Linked DNA regions of Saccharomyces cerevisiae S288C. The protein of the gene in region 1 interacts with the protein of each later gene in a biochemical or structural test. Each region holds a gene or a part of one and is shown on either strand. Other genes may lie near its edges.

What was found.
Region 2: the proteins of ASH1 (region 1) and CDC4 form a complex in vitro, tested with the Saccharomyces cerevisiae proteins (2 studies listed by BioGRID, with this or other methods).
Region 3: of the proteins of ASH1 (region 1) and CDC28, one has a biochemical effect on the other in vitro, tested with the Saccharomyces cerevisiae proteins (6 studies listed by BioGRID).
Region 4: of the proteins of ASH1 (region 1) and PHO85, one has a biochemical effect on the other in vitro, tested with the Saccharomyces cerevisiae proteins (2 studies listed by BioGRID).

What each region holds. Positions count from the first base shown.
Region 1 is NC_001143.9:91,721-97,679, forward strand, and holds ASH1 (DNA-binding transcription repressor ASH1), read left to right. Parts: upstream 1-2,778; coding exon 2,779-4,545; downstream 4,546-5,959. Other genes in the region: MTR2 (Mtr2p), read right to left, coding at 1,024-1,578; ornithine decarboxylase SPE1, read left to right, coding at 5,037-5,959. UniProt on the Saccharomyces cerevisiae protein: Component of the RPD3C(L) histone deacetylase complex (HDAC). Responsible for the deacetylation of lysine residues on the N-terminal part of the core histones (H2A, H2B, H3 and H4).
Region 2 is NC_001138.5:113,866-120,008, forward strand, and holds CDC4 (SCF ubiquitin ligase complex subunit CDC4), read left to right. Parts: upstream 1-2,279; coding exon 2,280-4,619; downstream 4,620-6,143. Other genes in the region: hexose transporter HXT10, read left to right, coding at 1-120; AUA1 (Aua1p), read left to right, coding at 1,125-1,409; WWM1 (Wwm1p), read right to left, coding at 1,243-1,878; cohesin subunit SMC1, read left to right, coding at 5,564-6,143. UniProt on the Saccharomyces cerevisiae protein: Substrate recognition component of a SCF (SKP1-CUL1-F-box protein) E3 ubiquitin-protein ligase complex which mediates the ubiquitination and subsequent proteasomal degradation of target proteins. Recognizes and binds to phosphorylated target proteins.
Region 3 is NC_001134.8:558,457-563,203, forward strand, and holds CDC28 (cyclin-dependent serine/threonine-protein kinase CDC28), read left to right. Parts: upstream 1-1,621; coding exon 1,622-2,518; downstream 2,519-4,747. Other genes in the region: IFA38 (ketoreductase), read left to right, coding at 229-1,272; mannosylinositol phosphorylceramide synthase catalytic subunit CSH1, read left to right, coding at 3,178-4,308; TOS1 (Tos1p), read right to left, coding at 4,747-4,747. UniProt on the Saccharomyces cerevisiae protein: Cyclin-dependent kinase that acts as a master regulator of the mitotic and meiotic cell cycles. Required to drive the G1-S transition. More than 200 substrates have been identified. Substrate specificity is in part regulated by the bound cyclin protein.
Region 4 is NC_001148.4:489,789-494,852, reverse strand, and holds PHO85 (cyclin-dependent serine/threonine-protein kinase PHO85), read left to right. Parts: upstream 1-1,815; coding exon 1,816-1,832; intron 1,833-1,934; coding exon 1,935-2,835; downstream 2,836-5,064. Other genes in the region: TRM44 (tRNA (uracil) methyltransferase), read right to left, coding at 1-1,310; SVL3 (Svl3p), read left to right, coding at 3,489-5,064.

The DNA.
Region 1 (5,959 bases):
CGAGAAACACAATCCCGATCCTTTTTTGGGTAATTACTTCACCGATTCTACCGATTTATCATGCCAAAAAAAATTCACCGTGGGTTCTAGAAGTGCCCTTTGAGGATTGTAGCCACTCTAACCCACACGGCCTCCTTACTAGCTGACTAAGGTGACAAAACCGCAAGGACTGGAAAGTCGCCACTCATCTGAAAATTCTCAAGTTTTTCACTACTGAGTTTATGCTTTCGAATTTTTTTGTTCGGTAATAGCACGGCGGTTCGATTCAATTCCGCCGCTCCGAGCGATGCTCCGCAAAACTCAGTAATAAGCTTTCTGATGGTTCACCCCTTTTTTAGCACGCGGGGTGTAACTCAACAGAAAAATGTGCCATAGAACAAGACTAGGCAAAAGCCAAGGAGCGTTTGCCATGAACTTCCACAAGTAAAGCTCGTTGACCAGTTGATCAGTTGAGGGGGGTACACACGACTAGCGCTTTCAGATATTAAAAAGTTTAGATGTAGGTTTTAGCGGTAACAGTTATATAAATCGTGTTTCTTCTCTTGATGAAACAAAAAAATGCTAGAAAAACTTTGTCGTTTCTTACTTTTGGTGCGCTTTGCAGTTTTCGTGGCTAGACTTAGAATCATTTCTCCTCAGATTTCTTGATTAAAGTTTGGTGCGAAGCCCTACTCTAACATTGGTGTTCTTCTTTTCATTCACGCAAGTTAAGTCCAGGAAGGTGAGCAAATGCTCATCCTTCTGTTCATGCGTGACGGCTGAATTATCCTTATCTGGCGTACCCGTGCAGCCGTTTCCGTGCCTCGGTTCCTCCGAGATATCCTTAGGGACCGCCAGGGACCATGATTGCGTCAACTGTTGTCACCGCTCCAGAGGATCCTCTGTAACCTTTTCAACCATAAAAATAGAAAGGGCACAGGGTTGGGGTATTTGAATTTTTTTTTTGGGTTTTTTCGTATTACTTATTACTTACCTTCTTTTCTATATAATTTTGTTTTTCCCTGGTAGAGCGGAATCTTCCCACTAAATTTTTAGCAGAGAATCCTCGGGTTTGTAAACCATGTTATAGTTAAACCCCGATATTACACCATTAAAATCATTTCTAAATATGCGGTCGTCGATGATCAGCTGCAGGGAAATGCCAAAATATGGACCCCATAGAGGTCTTGGCTTGTTCATATCGTTGGGTCGATTTCTGTTCCCAGTGTTATTTGGTTGAATGGGAACAGTCGCGTCTTGCCCCATCTTGTCTCTGCCGCTTTCGTCGAATCTGACTTTGCAATTGACGTTGCATATCAACGTGCCGGATCCCGGAATAGCGTGATAGTCTACTCCTGTTAGGGCATGTTGTGTTTGTACGACCTGGTTTTGCCACATTTGCAGAAAAACTGTTGCTTGCGCGAAGGGGGTAGCATTAAATATTATTCTGCAGTTGTTTGGATTAAAAAGCTGTACGAATTGGGCCAATTTGTTGGAGTCCGGATCATCCAAATGCGCTAATATCTTCTTCGTAAATGTGGCCGTTATTTGTGCTTGATTTGCGTCATTCATTACCATAGTATTACTATTGGTGTTCATATTTCTGTTATTACTGTTATTAGTTTGGCGTTTTGCCTGACGATCAGCCTGGTGGGGCCAAGTATATACTATAAAAACAGGTTAGTTACTTGCTCTATGCGTTTGCGCATCCTCTTTTTACTTTTTTTTTTTCAGTAAAGCCTAAGCATAAATCGTTTTATACGTACGACACGTTCAACTTTTCTTGGTTAGTAGTGGCAATCTCTGCAATACATACAGGGAGTCATGGTCTATCATCTTGTCCAATCAAAGAAGCATCGGTTCAGATCGAGCAAACTGTAGGGAGAAAGGAAAGTAGAAATGCAGAGTGTGCTATATGTCCAATCTCGGTTTTGTAGTTTGGATGTCATTAGAGATCTACCACCCAACCGGCTGCTTTCATGTGGAACAGAAAAGAAATCGGGGCGCTTCCTCTTCTGTATTCCTTTAATTAACGTTTTTATTCAGCCATCTAACCATCATACCCCCATACGGTAACAAAACCTCTTCTAAGAAAAGAAGTCTCTGCTCCTCCGCCATCTTATTTTTATTCGCTGCGCGCGTTTATTGTCGCATCGCTAGCCAGCAAAAAGTTGGTTGCCTTTTTTTACCTAAAAAAGACACATCTAACTGATTAGTTTTCCGTTTTAGGATATTGACGCCAAGCGTGCGTCTGATTTCTACGATATGTCTCTAATTTTGGAAGGGCCATTTTATTTTTGAGGATTGGGCTGATCATTTTCCTTACGTGGATTGAGCCAGCAATACAGATCATTATTAAACTGTTTTGTACATGATGTTAGTATATAATCGTAAAGCTTTTCTAATATGTATACCTTATACATGGAACTCCACAGAACTTGCAAACATACCAAAAATCCTTTATTCTTGTTCACTCATTTTACATCAAAAAATAATATTTCAGTTATTAAGGAAAATAAAAAAATAGATTAGAGAAGCATTTTGAAGAAATAGTATATTCTTTTATTGAACCTAAGAGCGTGATATTTTTACTCGAAATAAAATACGAAAAATCTATACACTCATCTTTCCGACTACTATTGGCTCCTGCTCAAAAAAAGAGGGAAAAAAAGCTCCAAAATTCTATCTTTTCCTATCGCTCCTGTCCTATCCTTATTACGTTCATTACTATTTTAATACTATCCATTCTTTTATTTTCAGTCTAAAAAAAACATTTCTCATAACGGGAAAAGCAAAAAAATGTCAAGCTTATACATCAAAACACCACTGCATGCATTATCTGCTGGTCCGGATTCTCATGCAAATAGCTCCTATTATGACAATCTTTTATTGCCTTCATTTTCCAATTTATCCAGTAATATCAGCAGGAACAATATCACAACCGATAACAATATAAATTCAGCAAGTCCTAGGAAGTATTCGTTTCATTCGCTCAATGTGTCGCCAATTCTTTCCCCAATATCTTTGGCTAACGAAATACTTGGAAAAAAATCAAATACTGCACCAGCATCGCCACATCATATGGATTACAATCCAATTTCCTCATTAACACCAGGCAATTCACCAGAATTCAACAAGGCAAGCTTATCTCAGATTAGTTTTACAAATCCATTGAACTATGGGTCTGGCTTAGGTTTTTCCTCTAATTCACAACCTCGACTACCATTGTTAGACAGGCTATCGTCCGTCTCTTTATCTAAGAGACCGGAGCGCCCACAACAAAGCCTACCATCACTAAGGCATCTGCAATTATTACCCAGTCCTCTTTTACAAGAAAACGCAGCACGCTTCCCTGATACATCAAAACGTACATCTAATTGGAAAACTGATCTTACCCATTGGTGTAAGGATACAAACTATCAAGACTATGTTAAAATACGCGAAGAAGTGGCTCATTTCAAGCCATTAAGTATACCCAACTTAACTAATAATCAAAATAATGATAGTTTCAATTACGGCAAGGAATTGGAATCGACTAGGTCGTCCAAGTTCCATTCCCCGTCTAAGGAATCATTTGATCGTACCAAACTAATTCCTTCGATTCTAGAAGCTAAAGATCAATTTAAAGATCTTTCCAACAATGCATGGAGTATTACTCCTCCCGTCACACCGCCGATGAGTCCACCAACCAATAGAACCATGGAGCGCACGACGCTTAGAGGAGTAGAGGCCTCTTTTTTTGAGGGGAAATCCAGCAATAACGATTCAATATTCAATCCAATTATTAGTGAAAAATTGGTTCAAGAAGTTAAACATCAAAGACAATTACGTGGAAATTCATTTCCCATGCCAAATGCCAGTCACAAAAAGACGAACAGTTTCAAAGCTTTGCAAATAAAAAAATTGCTTGCGAATAGAGACATTCTATCGAACAATTCCAAATCTAATGTAAGGAAACCATCTAAGAACAAAATCTCAAAGCAAGCATCAAATGTTTTCGGTAACACTGCAAGACAATTGGTGATGAAACTCGACAACGCTAGTTACAGTTCTGTCTCTGCATCTTCATCTCCATCTCCCTCCACACCGACGAAAAGTGGCAAGATGAGATCAAGATCATCCTCACCTGTGCGTCCCAAGGCATACACTCCAAGCCCAAGGTCACCCAATTATCATAGATTTGCTCTCGACTCTCCCCCTCAAAGCCCTCGAAGATCATCAAATTCAAGCATAACGAAAAAGGGAAGTAGAAGGTCCAGTGGCTCATCACCCACTCGTCACACCACAAGAGTGTGCGTGTCGTGTCATTCGAGTGATTCGCCCTGTTGGAGGCCATCGTGGTCGCCAAGAAAGCAAGATCAGCTATGTAACTCTTGTGGTCTTCGATATAAAAAAACACATACAAGATGTTTGAACGATTTATGTCGTAAGATCCCCACAAAGGGTGAAATAAACATTATGAAATCCAATGGAATAGACAAAGAATTCGTCCCCGAACGCAACTGCGAAATTGAAGGGTACCGTTGCTTATTTTGTAATTACATAACTGAGACAGTAGAGAATTGATACATGGATAACTGAATCTCTTTCAACTAATAAGAGACATTATCACGAAACAATTGTACATTTCTCTCCTTGTCTGTGCTAAATAAACTACAAATAAAAATTCATTTTCTTTCATTTTCATTCGACACGCCGCGGCATCTTCGTTTTCTTCACCGATTAATTTTAATCTGCGCCGTGCAGATATTTTCGCCCATTTCGAAGTGAAATCATTCTAATAACTTCTCCTGCGCAATAGATTGGTCATCCTGATTTTTATTCTGAAATCGAAAATGAAAAGCATTTATTGCACTGAAATAGCGGAACCTGCTTCTAATAAGCTTAAAATTCAATCATAATAGTGTAGTTAATAGAAAGGACAGAAGAACTTTTCGTTCCTTGGTTTATCATCCAGGTTTCAGCACGGCTTTTGTTTCAAGTTTAAGTAGGTAAGATTTTTTGATTGTTCTACAACTTTTTCATAGTAATCAAAACCTTTGAATTTCAAACTTACTATGTCTAGTACTCAAGTAGGAAATGCTCTATCTAGTTCCACTACTACTTTAGTGGACTTGTCTAATTCTACGGTTACCCAAAAGAAGCAATATTATAAAGATGGCGAGACGCTGCACAATCTTTTGCTTGAACTAAAGAATAACCAAGATTTGGAACTTTTACCGCATGAACAAGCGCATCCTAAAATATTTCAAGCGCTCAAGGCTCGTATTGGTAGAATTAATAATGAAACGTGCGACCCCGGTGAGGAGAACTCGTTTTTCATATGCGATTTGGGAGAAGTCAAGAGATTATTCAACAACTGGGTGAAGGAGCTTCCTAGAATTAAGCCATTTTATGCCGTCAAATGTAATCCTGATACCAAGGTTTTGTCATTATTAGCAGAGTTGGGCGTTAATTTCGATTGCGCTTCCAAAGTGGAAATTGACAGAGTATTATCGATGAACATCTCGCCGGATAGAATTGTTTACGCTAATCCTTGTAAAGTAGCATCTTTCATTAGATATGCAGCTTCAAAAAATGTAATGAAGTCTACTTTTGACAATGTAGAAGAATTGCATAAAATCAAAAAGTTTCATCCTGAGTCTCAGTTGTTATTAAGAATCGCTACCGATGACTCTACCGCTCAATGTCGACTTTCCACCAAATATGGCTGTGAAATGGAAAACGTAGACGTTTTATTAAAGGCTATAAAGGAACTAGGTTTAAACCTGGCTGGTGTTTCTTTCCACGTCGGTTCAGGCGCTTCTGATTTTACAAGCTTATACAAAGCCGTTAGAGATGCAAGAACGGTATTTGACAAAGCTGCTAACGAATACGGGTTGCCCCCTTTGAAGATTTTGGATGTAGGTGGTGGATTTCAATTTGAATCCTTCAAAGAATCAACTGCTGTTTTGCGTCTAGCGCTAGAGGAATTTTTCCC
Region 2 (6,143 bases), on another chromosome or scaffold:
GTTAATGAAATGTACGAAGAAAGAATAAAGCCATGGAAGTCCGGAGGTTGGATTCCCAGTTCTAGAAGAACACCACAACCAACAAGCAGTACACCATTAGTTATTGTTGATAGTAAATAATTTCTAAATATTCTTGTACTCTGGTAAACAGAAATAACAACAGATAATGGATTGATGCTTTACTTCTATTTCATGGAGATTGGTTTTATATAATAGCCTTTATTAATGGCGTCACAAATTGAAAAAAAAATTAAAAAAAATAAGACGGACACATTTGCGACGCCGGTGAATAAATGCATATAAGTAGTTTATAAGCTAGCTACTACTCAGAAATAATTTCAAAAAAAAAAAGAAGTGGGCACTTTAAAATGAAGATTAGCTATAGTAAATTACTGTAGTATAACAACTACCTGCTATCTTTCTGAAAAAATCAGGCAATGTAAGGTCAAACTTGTACCATCGACATATATAATGTTTTGAGATATAAGTAACTAGAGACCAGTTTATACAGGATCTTACCTCTTTTTACCGTTATGAAAGCTTTATTACTGCGTTGTTAGTAAACACACATATTATTTTCGGGTAGTCCTGTCGATGTTCCAAGGCTTTGCATTTATCATTGTTTCCGCTTCATCGGTGGTATTAGTTAGTGTATCTGTATGTGAAGTATGTGGATAGGTGCTTCTATTATTGGAACAAAACACCTTAAACGCGCACTAGGTTATAGGAAAGGGTCCATTATTCAAAGAACGGCTTATTGAAAAGTATGTTGTAAAGCTCGGTCATATCGCGCATAGCCACGATAAGGCGTGGTGCTGCTTCATAGATTGAGAGGCGCAGTCAATACACAACCATACCGGTAGTTTGATAAATGATACTATCATTCCGGAAGCTCTCTAGTAAGCTGTAGGTGGCATATACGGTATCTATCATCTAGTAATAGCTATTGATTTTTTTCTCGACTATGCTATATGTGTTGTGATGGTTCACTTAGAAGTGAAAAAGTAGCAATAAATTAGACAGACAGAAGTAATTGAAGCTACATTCAACAACATGGCTAAGTAAAAAAGCGTAGAATATCATGATGGGTTTTTTTATCTTTTAATTGCTTTCTATGTAGTATAATGGACCGATCTTTGCAAGTATATATCTGTATGTATCCATATTTAGATGGCAGCAAGCAATATAGATTTGATGAGCTTATATCATTTTATCGTCCTTGTCCAAAAAGTCTTGATAACATTAAAAGTCACTACCGTCAAATCCATCATCAAATCCGCCGTCGAACCCACCAGCATCATCAAATCCGCCGTCGGACCCACCAGCATCATCACCGTAGTAATTGTTCTCGACAACGACAGTGTCTGGTCCGTCATAGTTGTGGTCGTCAAATGCGTGTTCTAGCATAGCTCCACCTAACAAACCCGCACCAACACCAAGTAAACCACCCATCATGGCACCGCCGTGTCCACTACCTTTACTGGTGCTTGGCGCAGTTCCATAGTATGCTTGCTGTGGTGCTGCTGCTGGCATAGGGGCTTGTTGAGGATAGTAACGCTGCTGTTGAGGGTATTGAGGGTACTGAGGCTGTTGAGGCTGATAGTAACGAGGTTGCTGTGCTTGGGCCCCTGCTTGCACTTGCGGTGTTGATTGAGAAGAATAAGGTGGAGGAGCCTGGTCTGCCTGTTGACGAGAACTCTTCTCATTGTTAACACCTGGTGGAGGACCTTTGGGTCTTGGCCATGTTGTTCCCCTTGGTGGTTCCCACTGAGAGCTGTTCGTAGATAAATCTACATAATACCAAGTCTGGTATTCATCATCAAAAACAGCCTTCCAGCCAGAAGGCACTTGAGGAGGATTACTTTTACTTTGAGCCATTACTTTAAAATGTTTTGGGTTTTTTTATCGACTCTCTTGTAGTGAGTGATAAAAGCAATTCAGAAAGAGTCTTTTGATTATCATGACTAAAGTAAACTTTTTCTTCCAGCTGCCGGCTCGGTCAGGTGGACGAAACAAAAAAGCCTGTTGAAATAATACTGAATACGTTAAAACGTCACAGCGCTTGTATATCTTGTGAGAGAAAGGCTATTACCACTGTTATATGAATATAGATTGCTCAACAAAGCGTGTCTTTTTCTGTGTGCTTAAAATATAGTGTCTTTTTTGGGAAAAAAACGTTTATTTACAGTATTCTCTTCTTCTTCTCCTCATTCAACTTGTTGCGGTTCGAAGAAAATTACGCATAAAGAATCAAAGAAAGGCAAAAATTACGCTGTACGATGGGGTCGTTTCCCTTAGCTGAGTTTCCATTACGTGATATCCCTGTTCCTTATAGCTACCGTGTGTCTGGCGGTATAGCTTCCTCAGGTAGTGTTACTGCGCTTGTTACTGCCGCTGGCACTCATCGAAACTCGTCCACGGCTAAGACAGTTGAGACAGAAGACGGCGAAGAAGATATCGATGAGTATCAGAGGAAAAGAGCAGCTGGTTCTGGCGAATCCACTCCTGAACGCAGTGATTTCAAAAGGGTAAAACATGATAATCACAAAACCCTCCATCCAGTTAACTTACAGAACACCGGTGCAGCGTCTGTGGATAATGACGGTCTGCACAATTTAACAGATATATCCAACGATGCAGAAAAACTTTTGATGTCTGTGGATGATGGTTCTGCCGCACCTTCTACATTGAGTGTAAACATGGGAGTGGCATCTCATAATGTTGCTGCTCCCACTACCGTCAATGCGGCAACAATAACTGGCAGTGATGTTAGTAACAATGTTAATAGTGCTACTATTAACAATCCTATGGAGGAAGGAGCGCTGCCGTTATCACCCACTGCTTCCTCTCCAGGTACCACAACTCCTTTAGCTAAAACTACGAAAACTATCAACAACAATAATAATATCGCCGATTTGATAGAATCCAAAGATTCTATAATCTCCCCTGAATACCTTTCTGATGAGATTTTCAGCGCAATAAACAATAATCTCCCTCACGCATACTTCAAAAATTTATTATTTAGATTAGTTGCCAACATGGATAGGAGTGAACTATCCGACTTGGGGACTTTAATCAAGGATAATTTAAAGAGGGACCTAATAACGTCTTTGCCTTTTGAAATAAGTTTGAAAATTTTCAATTATTTGCAATTCGAGGATATTATAAATTCCCTTGGGGTCTCCCAAAATTGGAACAAAATAATTAGAAAATCTACATCGTTGTGGAAAAAACTTCTGATATCGGAAAATTTTGTGAGCCCAAAGGGTTTTAATTCTCTCAATCTCAAACTCTCCCAAAAATACCCAAAACTCTCACAACAAGATCGCCTTAGATTATCTTTTCTGGAGAATATATTCATTTTAAAAAATTGGTACAATCCCAAGTTTGTACCACAAAGGACCACGTTAAGAGGCCATATGACGAGTGTTATTACGTGCTTGCAATTTGAAGATAATTATGTCATTACGGGGGCTGATGACAAAATGATCAGAGTTTATGATTCGATAAACAAGAAATTTCTTCTACAACTATCAGGTCATGATGGTGGGGTTTGGGCATTGAAGTATGCCCATGGCGGTATTTTAGTCAGCGGTTCTACAGACAGAACGGTGCGAGTTTGGGATATTAAGAAAGGTTGTTGTACCCATGTGTTTAAAGGTCATAACTCTACGGTGAGGTGCCTAGATATAGTAGAATATAAAAATATCAAGTACATTGTTACTGGTTCGAGAGATAACACTTTGCACGTTTGGAAATTGCCCAAGGAGTCCTCCGTTCCTGATCATGGGGAAGAACATGATTATCCATTAGTCTTTCATACCCCTGAGGAGAACCCATATTTTGTTGGTGTTTTAAGAGGACATATGGCATCTGTAAGAACTGTCTCAGGCCACGGTAATATTGTCGTTAGTGGCTCCTATGATAATACACTGATTGTGTGGGATGTTGCGCAAATGAAATGTTTGTATATTTTAAGTGGACATACGGATCGTATTTATTCGACAATCTACGATCATGAAAGAAAAAGGTGCATCTCTGCCAGTATGGATACCACTATTAGAATTTGGGATTTGGAAAATATATGGAATAATGGAGAATGTTCCTACGCAACAAATTCAGCATCGCCATGCGCCAAAATACTTGGTGCTATGTACACTTTGCAGGGTCATACAGCTTTGGTCGGTTTATTAAGATTATCCGACAAATTTTTGGTCAGTGCCGCTGCAGACGGTTCAATAAGGGGTTGGGACGCAAACGACTACTCTAGAAAATTTTCCTACCATCATACCAATTTGAGTGCAATTACCACATTTTATGTATCGGATAATATTTTGGTGAGTGGATCGGAAAATCAGTTCAACATCTATAATCTACGGAGTGGGAAATTGGTCCACGCAAATATTCTAAAAGATGCTGATCAGATTTGGTCGGTTAATTTTAAGGGCAAAACACTTGTTGCAGCAGTTGAAAAAGATGGACAGAGCTTTTTAGAAATTCTGGATTTCAGCAAAGCTTCAAAAATTAACTACGTTAGCAATCCCGTAAACTCCTCGTCGTCGTCTTTGGAATCCATTTCTACTTCTTTGGGTCTAACGAGGACAACTATAATACCATGACCTTTCCCAGAGAATAAGCATTGACTCATACTTAGATAATATAGCTTAATAAGTAGTTATATAATCAGTAAAAAAGTACAATAACAACTTCGTACATTTTATTGAATATAAACTGCAGCTAAACTGCTTGTATGTTCAATTTTAATTGTGTTTACAAAAAGGGTGCCGTTTATTAATTAATGTTTCTTCCCTGAAAATATGGAAAGTACAAGTTTTTAGTTGAGAAGGGTTTAAGAAAGTTTTGAAAATGATCTAAAAAAATATAAAAGCAATCAAAGAAATAAAAGCTGGAAAAATGCGTAATAACCGAAGTGACTAAAATTTCTTTACGCGCCAAATAAGAAATCGATGCTCTTGAAAGTAGCAACCATTTTTTAAATAATATATTCCTGATGGTTCTTGGCCCAAGAGTTTTCTTGAACTTTTAACGTTAAGAAGTTGATTCTGCTGATTTTTTTCAAGTTATCAAGCGTTATGTTTTGAAACATCTGTTCCGTTTTCAGTTTTTCAAAAAGATCGATATTCTCTTGAGAATTAGGAAGTTCTACGCTCAACCTCCCGTGGGCAGAAGAAATACAAAAGCTAATACAATTGTGTTAGAATAAAGTTCTAATATTATCTAATTAGTAGTATTCATGTTACTAGTATATTATCACATGATATTTCTCAAATTGGACAATGTAAATAATGAGTGTTTTTATGACACAATCTTTATCGTTAGATGTTTCAACGTTCCAAGGCTTGGTTCTATCGCTCTTCTCTTCAAATTGTAATCGTTTGTCATGATAAACACGTACGGGAAAAAAAAAAAAAGTATCAATAACGCGTAAAGTGAATAGAGTATTGGATTCTATAAGACCGAAGACGCTCATATCACATCTCATAAAATCACTTAAAGCAAGCATCCAGAGGCTATTGATAAAAAGCAGGCACAAGGAGACGCAATGGGACGTTTAGTTGGCTTAGAACTAAGTAATTTCAAGTCCTATAGAGGCGTTACCAAGGTAGGATTCGGCGAGTCGAATTTCACAAGTATTATCGGTCCTAACGGATCTGGTAAATCGAATATGATGGATGCTATCTCATTCGTACTCGGTGTGCGGAGTAATCATTTGAGGTCAAACATCTTGAAAGATTTAATCTATAGAGGTGTTCTAAACGATGAGAATAGTGACGATTATGATAACGAGGGCGCTGCCTCTTCGAACCCACAATCCGCATACGTGAAGGCATTTTATCAAAAAGGTAACAAACTGGTGGAGCTGATGAGGATAATTTCCAGAAACGGTGACACTAGTTATAAAATTGATGGAAAAACTGTCTCCTATAAGGACTATTCTATATTTCTTGAGAACGAAAATATTCTTATCAAAGCCAAAAATTTTCTAGTGTTCCAGGGTGATGTTGAGCAAATTGCAGCACAATCTCCCGTAGAATTATCAAGAATGTTTGAAGAAGTATCAGGTTCTATCCAATACAAAAAGGAGTATGAAGAGTTGAAGGAAAAGATTGAGAAATTAAGCA
Region 3 (4,747 bases), on another chromosome or scaffold:
AATCAATGTCTCGGATTTGGAAGTCCTTTATAGAGATAATTGTAGGGGCCTTTTGTAATGTTTCGGATGTTCTGTTTTAAGTCCGCGGGAGGCCTTTTTATTTTTCGCTTTTTTAGAGATTTCACGAATAAAAGCGTTGCAGAAATGCAACTTCAAAAGAGACTGAAGGAAACACAGATAGAAGAACAGTCTTCAAAGCAATCAATTCGTGTCGGTGCAGCTTAAGAAATGACTTTTATGCAACAGCTTCAAGAGGCTGGGGAAAGATTTAGGTGTATCAATGGTCTTTTATGGGTTGTTTTTGGGCTTGGTGTCTTAAAATGTACAACGTTATCACTTAGATTTTTAGCTCTTATTTTTGATCTTTTTTTACTACCAGCAGTCAATTTCGACAAGTATGGTGCTAAAACTGGTAAATACTGTGCTATCACTGGTGCAAGTGACGGTATTGGTAAAGAATTTGCTAGACAAATGGCGAAACGTGGCTTCAACTTGGTATTGATCTCGAGAACGCAATCTAAATTGGAGGCTTTACAAAAAGAACTAGAAGATCAACATCATGTCGTTGTAAAGATTCTAGCCATTGACATTGCGGAGGATAAAGAATCCAACTATGAATCCATTAAGGAATTGTGTGCGCAGTTACCAATCACCGTTTTGGTCAATAATGTTGGTCAATCACACTCCATTCCTGTTCCATTTTTGGAAACAGAAGAGAAGGAGCTTAGAAATATTATCACTATCAATAACACTGCTACATTATTAATTACACAAATCATTGCACCAAAGATTGTGGAAACTGTGAAAGCTGAAAACAAGAAGTCGGGTACTCGTGGTTTGATCTTAACCATGGGCTCATTTGGTGGTCTGATTCCCACCCCACTTTTGGCTACATACAGTGGTTCGAAATCATTCTTACAAGGTTGGTCTAACTCTTTGGCTGGGGAATTATCTAAAGATGCTATCGATGTTGAATTAATCATTTCATATTTGGTCACTAGCTCGATGTCTAAAATCAGAAGATCATCTTTAATGATCCCAAATCCACAACAGTTTGTAAAATCCACTTTAAGAAGCGTTGGCAGACGCTGCGGCTCTCAAGAAAGATACGCTACTATGACCCCTTACTGGGCGCACGCAGTGTATCAATTTGTAATTACAGAGACCTTTGGCGTTTACTCTAAGATTGTTAACTCCATTAATTATTCCTTCCATAAATCTATCAGAATTAGAGCCTTAAAAAAAGCCGCAAGACAGGTTAAAAAGGAATAGAATTATCGTTCTCGAGATAGTTTTTATACAATACATATATATATATATATATATATATTTACAAGAAAAGCATGGCTTATGTATTATACTTGCTTATGTACCAATATATACATATATGGCCTTATTAGGGCAACAAACGCCAAAAATAAAAACGAACCTAAATGAGAAAAAAAGAGAAAAATTTGGAAAACAACAAGAACTCAAAAAAAAAAATTGGTGGAAGGACCAAGTCCTCTTGAAAGAAAATTTAATACTGCTTTTCCAGAATATCATATTGGAAAAAATATTCAAGCCAGCACATCAGCTACAGTGGAAAATAGCCCAGATCAAATAGAACTATCCTTCGAACATGAGCGGTGAATTAGCAAATTACAAAAGACTTGAGAAAGTCGGTGAAGGTACATACGGTGTTGTTTATAAAGCGTTAGACTTAAGACCTGGCCAAGGTCAAAGAGTAGTCGCATTGAAGAAAATAAGACTAGAGAGTGAAGACGAGGGTGTTCCCAGTACAGCCATCAGAGAAATCTCATTATTGAAGGAATTAAAAGACGATAATATTGTCAGATTATACGATATTGTTCACTCTGATGCACACAAGCTATATCTTGTTTTTGAGTTCCTCGATTTGGACCTGAAAAGATATATGGAGGGTATTCCAAAGGACCAACCGTTAGGAGCTGATATTGTTAAGAAGTTTATGATGCAACTTTGTAAGGGTATTGCATACTGCCACTCACACCGTATTCTGCATCGTGATTTAAAACCGCAGAACTTATTGATTAACAAAGATGGGAATCTAAAACTAGGTGATTTTGGCTTAGCGCGTGCTTTTGGTGTTCCGTTGAGAGCTTACACACATGAAATTGTTACTCTATGGTATAGAGCTCCGGAGGTATTACTGGGTGGAAAACAATATAGTACAGGTGTCGATACATGGTCCATCGGCTGTATATTTGCCGAAATGTGTAACAGGAAACCAATCTTCAGTGGCGATAGTGAGATCGATCAGATTTTCAAGATATTCAGAGTATTGGGAACGCCGAATGAAGCTATATGGCCAGATATTGTCTACTTGCCTGATTTCAAGCCAAGCTTTCCTCAATGGCGCAGAAAAGACCTATCACAAGTGGTACCAAGTCTAGATCCACGCGGTATTGATTTGTTGGACAAACTCCTCGCGTATGACCCTATTAACCGGATTAGCGCCAGAAGAGCAGCCATCCACCCCTACTTCCAAGAATCATAAGCATTATAATCTATTTCGCTATTATATTACAAATGCTACTGCACTGTCATTATAGCCTAGTAAAGTATATAGTGAATACAATATACTCAGTTTCAACATTATGATGGGTAACTCCATCAGAAAATATATTCATCGTCATATACGGAACATTCAGTTATACGCGAAAGTAAAAGTGAGAGCTTTTCAGGGGTTAAAAGCTGGGCGTGTTCCATGACGTATTTACCGAGGTCGTATTATCAAAGAAAATGAAAAAAAAAAAAAAAAAAAAAAAAGCGAAGAGGAAAAAGACAAACGAAAAACAAAACGAAATAACGCATTGTATGCTGGGGCCTCAATTGAACTTCTTTGACTATAAGGAGTTCGCTTGTTTAAAGCCGTTTCGCATCTGACTCGCCCTTGGTTTTTTTCTCTGTTCTTGTTTTTGACCTCCGCAAATTCATTGCTCTTTGAATTTTGAAGAGTTTCATTGTCACCGTTGAATAACCGAGACGGGTATTGTTTTTATTTCCTTCATTATTTACATCGCAACACGATTTTTATTAGCTTCCTCAAGGAGCGCTGACCGTATATAATATAATTTCAACAACCGAACAAGGCAGTGCGAAGCGGTGCACCTTACAACAGTGCTAAAGTAGTTACAGTAAACCAATTAATACGTGATGAAGAAGGAGTTGAAAATTCTTATAATAGCGAACATTGCATTACTTATCTCTATAATACATTACACATTTGATTTGTTGACGTTATGTATAGATGATACTTCCAAAGATGCGCTAACAGATGAACAGCTGAACCCCCCCAATGGCTTCAATTCAACATTCTATGAGTCTCCTCCTCAACTCATACCGAAAATCATTCATCAAACCTACAAAACAAACGATATCCCAGAACAGTGGGTAAAAGGGAGGCAGAAGTGCATTGATTTACATCCGGATTACACTTACATTTTATGGACGGATGAAATGTCTGATACTTTCATTAAACAGGAATACCCGTGGTTTCTTGACACCTTTAGGAGTTATGAATATCCAATTGAGAGGGCGGATGCAATACGGTATTTCATCCTTTCGCATTATGGTGGTATTTACATTGACTTGGATGATGGTTGTGAAAGAAGGCTAGACCCTTTGTTGAAAGTACCAGCATTTCTAAGGAAAACTTCGCCTACAGGAGTGTCAAATGATGTGATGGGCTCTGTTCCAAGGCACCCCTTCTTCTTGAAGGTCATCAAATCGTTGAAACACTATAAGAAAAACTGGTACATTCCATATATGACAATCATGGGCTCTACGGGCCCCTTATTCATTAGTGTGGTTTGGAAGCAATATAAGAGATGGTCTAATACGGCCGAAAATGGTGCGGTAAGAATTTTACAACCTGCAGATTATAAAATGCATAATAATTCTTTTTTCTCAATATCTAAAGGTTCCTCCTGGCATACGGGTGATGCCAATTTTATGAAAACTCTAGAGAATCACATCTTGTCTTGCGTGGTTACCGGATTCATTTTTGGCTTTTTCATATTATACGGTGAATTTACATTTTATACTTGGCTGTGCTCGGGACCATTTAACAACAAACGCTATTACATTCAGTGGTTGAGTGACAAGTTCAAGTTACACAAGTGGAAACTAACATCGTCTTACAAGAATAAGGAAAAGAGGCGGAATCCTACTCGTCACGAATATAATTCGAGGGGTAAGAGATTAAGAAAAGATTCTAATATCCCCTACGACAGCGTTTTCCTTGATATAGAAAAGAATCACGCAAAATTTACCGACTTAACCTGATTGAATTGCCACTGTTCTACCCCTATAATATTGTGAGCATGGATAAATCTCAAAAACAATGGCGTATAGATATATAACAGGTATTAAATCTTAGTATTTAAGAATTACAAGTAACATGCATTCCTATAAAAATTAAAGAGAAAAAAATTCGATTATAAAATAGTACAATGTCCAGAAGCTTGGTTTTTAATAGTATATAATAAAGATAAAGATAGATAGAGAACATAACTCTAAACTTTAAGAGTGAATTTTTTTTTTTTAGTTTAGTTTTTTTTTTTTTTTTTTTTTACAATAATGTATTGTTCTTGGAAAATAACACAATCTGTTCAAAGTGGACAGAAACCCTAAAACAAAAATAATAACGGGGAAGGAAAAAAATAGCAAGTGAAACATAAATGAAAAAAAGGAAAATTTTATTGGTTAATAAGAAACGATCGAC
Region 4 (5,064 bases), on another chromosome or scaffold:
GAGTGGTTACCTATAATAAAAGTATCTGGTGGGAACTCTGCTGTATTGACCTGCGGAGATTTTAGTAAGTCCTCACTTGAATACACGACGGTTGCGGGGGCAATCACTTCGTGCGTCACCTTGACTGGGAAAAATCTCCCATTGTGTTCCAAATGAGGTACTTGTCTTTTCAAAGCAGGATGGGGTCTTAAAAGGATAGAAGGTATTATAACTTGCTCCTTTAACGATGATTGCACTTCAGGCGGGTAGATAGACCACGATTTGCGCTTCCTTGCATCTATGCCGAGACCTTTAATACTTTCACTCAGTAAAATATAACAAAGAGCACCATTGCCGCATCCCAAATCTCTAAATTGCATTTTTGAACGGAAGTCTGGACCGTACACTTTAATCCATAATTCAATCAGGAAAGCGGCAATGGCTATGTCTTCAAAAACATGTTTTTTTGGGTCTGTAGACTCTGCCCAATTCTCCACCAGGAACTTGGAGTATTTTTTCTTCAAAACAATGTATGTGTTCTGAAAATTGACTTTATTTACCACTTGATCGTGATTGACCCTCTTTTCATAACCCTGCATCACACCCTTTGAGTGTTTGTTAGCAGTTTGTAATAACCTATAAGCGGTTCTTACAACACGCTCAGATTCATCTGTAAAGGCAGTTTTATCCTCGGGGAAGGGAATGTAGTGTACAGAAAGAACTGACTGGTGTAACAAAATGCCTACACTTTGCGTTCTTGGAATATAAAACGGACAGTCTTTCTCAGAGTTAATGTGCGGCGTATATACAATCAATGAGGTCTCCTGAAAATTAGGGTCTTTGCTATTTAGGATTAAACATGTTTGGTTTATGATAGCATCTTTGTAAAAATTCCTAGGAATGATCCTTCTTACAAATTCATGAACGGGTGACAATTTTAAACTCTCAGATGTTTCACACGACCTTATGTTTAAATCTTCAATATTTATCTTCTTGACATCTTCTTCACCGCTTTCATTACCATTATCGATCTCAAACTTTTTTAATACGGACTCGTCAAATTTTGGCTCAGACCCAGCTTCTGCAGCATGATTGATCTCTTTCAAAATATCCGCTCTTAATATGACAGTAGAGTTAATATTTGGTTCTCTAATAACGTTCATCATTGCTTGCTCGAAGTGGGACTTTGCGAATGTTACTTTCCCATCCGTTTGGTAAAGGCTTAACCATTGAGGTCCTAGAATACTTTTATCATTCACAATAAACTTGAAGCGATCTTTGTGTTGATTTTGATTGTTTTTAGAAATATGTGCACTACCGTCGCCAGTCATTGTTGAGAGAAAGGAGAAGTATCACAAGATAGCAATATAATCGGACCAAATGCGTTGTCTATCTTGCGTAATGGAAATCGCATTTTCTAAATGATATGGTTTATTTCAAAGAATAATGTCATCGGGTTTTCCAAAATGCAAAAAATGAAATTTTTAACAATGCAGAGCAAAAAAGTGAAGAATAAGTGCACTACTAAAACCAAAAAAACAGGAAGAAGGTGCAAAAACGCAAAAAGTAGTTACCATAGTCCGTCCAGACACGTTAAATGAATTGATAGACACGGAGGGATAGACAGGCCGGATGCGCTACTTCTATCTATCCTAGACCCTTTGCTTGTCCTCTGTGTGCAGTTCATTTTCCGTACAAATCACCATACACGTAGACTCGTAAGCCCGTAGCTTTCTAATTGAAAGATAACAAAGGGAATCCAGTTTTACCATATAGCGTATAATTGCAGATAAGGGATATATAGCGCGGCAAACTGGGCAAACTTGAGCAATACCAATGTCTTCTTCTTCACAGTATGTAGTTTTCTAGTCAAGTATCATTGGAAAGTAAAGAACTAGAAATGATGAATACTAACATATATACGAGAAAAAATCAACCTCGAGCTCTATGAACAGATTTAAGCAGTTAGAAAAGCTTGGCAATGGTACGTATGCCACAGTGTACAAGGGACTGAACAAAACCACAGGGGTATATGTTGCCCTGAAAGAGGTAAAACTGGATTCAGAGGAAGGTACACCCTCTACGGCCATCCGTGAGATCTCCCTAATGAAAGAATTGAAACATGAGAACATTGTTAGACTTTATGACGTTATTCACACAGAGAACAAGTTGACTTTGGTTTTTGAATTCATGGACAACGATTTAAAGAAATACATGGATTCCCGCACCGTGGGCAACACACCAAGAGGGCTAGAACTAAACTTGGTTAAATACTTCCAGTGGCAACTACTGCAAGGGCTGGCCTTTTGCCATGAAAACAAGATTCTCCACCGTGATTTAAAACCTCAAAACCTATTAATCAACAAGAGAGGCCAGTTGAAATTGGGTGATTTCGGTCTGGCCCGTGCTTTCGGTATTCCGGTCAACACATTTTCAAGCGAAGTCGTAACGTTGTGGTACCGTGCTCCTGATGTGCTAATGGGTTCTAGGACGTACTCCACATCCATTGATATATGGTCGTGTGGGTGCATTCTTGCGGAAATGATAACGGGTAAGCCTTTGTTTCCTGGCACCAACGACGAAGAACAACTGAAATTGATCTTCGACATCATGGGCACTCCTAATGAGTCCCTATGGCCCAGTGTAACAAAGTTACCCAAATACAACCCAAATATCCAGCAACGACCACCAAGAGACCTACGTCAAGTATTGCAACCACACACCAAAGAACCGCTAGACGGGAATCTCATGGATTTCTTACACGGACTCTTGCAACTTAATCCGGATATGAGGCTGAGCGCCAAGCAGGCTCTGCATCACCCTTGGTTTGCAGAGTACTACCACCACGCTTCATAACGCAGCCCGTCAGCGAAAAACCGTAGCCATGTATATATAATGATAATAATCATCTATAATACACTACTATTACTTTAGTCTCATCTTACGACAGCCTTTACGACGGCTTTTACCGCCTTAAAGGCGGACAGGCTTTGTCTTCCGGAACGGAAAAACATGAAAATTTTTTATTTTTTTTCATTCGTTTATACCGCGAGTGAAAAAAAAAAAAAAGGAAACTGGAAACCTCTCGAATAACGATCGGTGAATGCTTCCCAAGCTGTTTTCGGTCTTCGTGTTGTGTCAAGTGAGAGAGCAGAACGTAAACGCAAACACAACGTCGGTTCTTTCCGTTGGCGTTCGTTGTTTGTTTATTCTCGTTTCTTTGAACCTGTTTGTTTATTTATTTTTAAACAGTCAATTAGTGAGAGTAACACACTTCTAATCTTGGCCTTCTTATTCGTAGCCACCCAGCTATTTTTGGTCTTGATCAGAACAAAGCAAGCAAAACCAAGAACAAACAGAAAGGGGAGAAATAGTTATCGGTTCGTTCCCTGGTTTTACTTCCTTTTTTTTTTCTTTCATTTTATAACACACAACTCCAGCAGTCTGACGCTCACCAATAAGATCAATTTCGTTTAATTGCTTTGCTCGCCCTCACACACGTTATAGTTATGTCGTCTTCCTCACTTCGAGTTTTAGCTATTGGGAACAACCCGAATATCTTGTTCTACACCTCAAGGTTTCAACTGGCCAAGAATATAGACCTCTACCACGTCAACGATTCAAAATCATGTCAATTTGAAATTGAAACTGAATACTACGGCAAAGACCGGTTCGAATTGGAAAATCATTTCACCTCTATCGAGCACTTGACTGAAGCTTTGAGCTCCAAATCAAGTGAAGCCGTCTTCGACATAATCATCATGAGTGCTCCATCTTTACAGGAATTATCCTCGTTAGCGTCCAAGTTAACGTCCATAATCGATTCGAACACCAAAATTTTCTTAGAAAGCAGTGGTTTCATCCAATTGGAACCGTTTGTCAAATTATCGATGGAATCTCCGCATGTAAACGTTTTCAGTATTTTGACTGATTTGGATATTCGTCAAATCGGTCCAAACCATTTCAAACACTTTCCTAGTACTGCAAAGGAGAACACGATTTACCTCGGCGAAAGTAAGTCCAGCACTGAGAAATATTCATCAGGCGTTATAACATTATTAACCACTTTTGAAAAACTGTTTGCTAAATTGTTTTCCAACATAAAAATCAATTTGTGCAATTTCTCATCAATTGAGTTTCTATCACAACAATGGAAGCTGGCGATTTCCAGAATTTGTTTTGATCCGTTGTTAATCATGTTTGAACAAGAAAACCCAAGTGATCTAGACCAGCAGATCATTGCCAAACCTTTAATATCAGGTCTGGTAACTGAAATCATCACTGTAGCAAAAACAATGGGAGCCAGACTAAACAGTAGTCATGATAATGAAAACTCTCTTTTATCTCTATGGAAGAATTCTTATCATTCAACCAATAAGCCACCTGCATTGGTTTATCATTTCATTCATCAAACAACGCCTTTGAACATCGATATCCTGTTGTTACAAACTATTTTATTAGCCGATGACTTTGGTATCAAAACTCCGTACTTAGAATTTTTATACTCTGTTTTGTCCCAATTTGAAAGATTGAATAGTGGCAAATCTAAATGGTTTATTAGGTCAGATGAAAAAACTCAAATCTTACAAAGCTTGCAAAAATCACAAAAAAATGAATCTGCTTTACAGACTCAAATTACCTCCTTACAAGGTCAAATTAGTAAACTAAGACAAGAGTTGCTTATGCAGGCCAAGCAACATGAAATGGAAACTAATGAGTTAAAGGAGAAACATCAAGTCGCTCTAAAAGCCCAGGCCCAAGCCCAAGCTCAAGCCCAATCTCAAGCTCAAACATCAATTGAAGCACTAACGCCAACTGAAGCAACAAACCAATCCGATACAAATGAATATAAAGCAACAGGAACTCCGAATTTGAGGGACATCGAAGATATGGCACTATATAGTGTAAACTACGGAGACTCTCCAGTGAGATCTCCACCACCTGTTGTAAGCTCTCAGCCACAAATGAACTCACCATTATCCTCACATTCACAAACTTTCGGAGAGAATAATGGCACGAATGACAAATTACTACAAGAACGCGAATTGCAACTCCGTAAAAAGGAATTAGAGCTACAAGAACGTG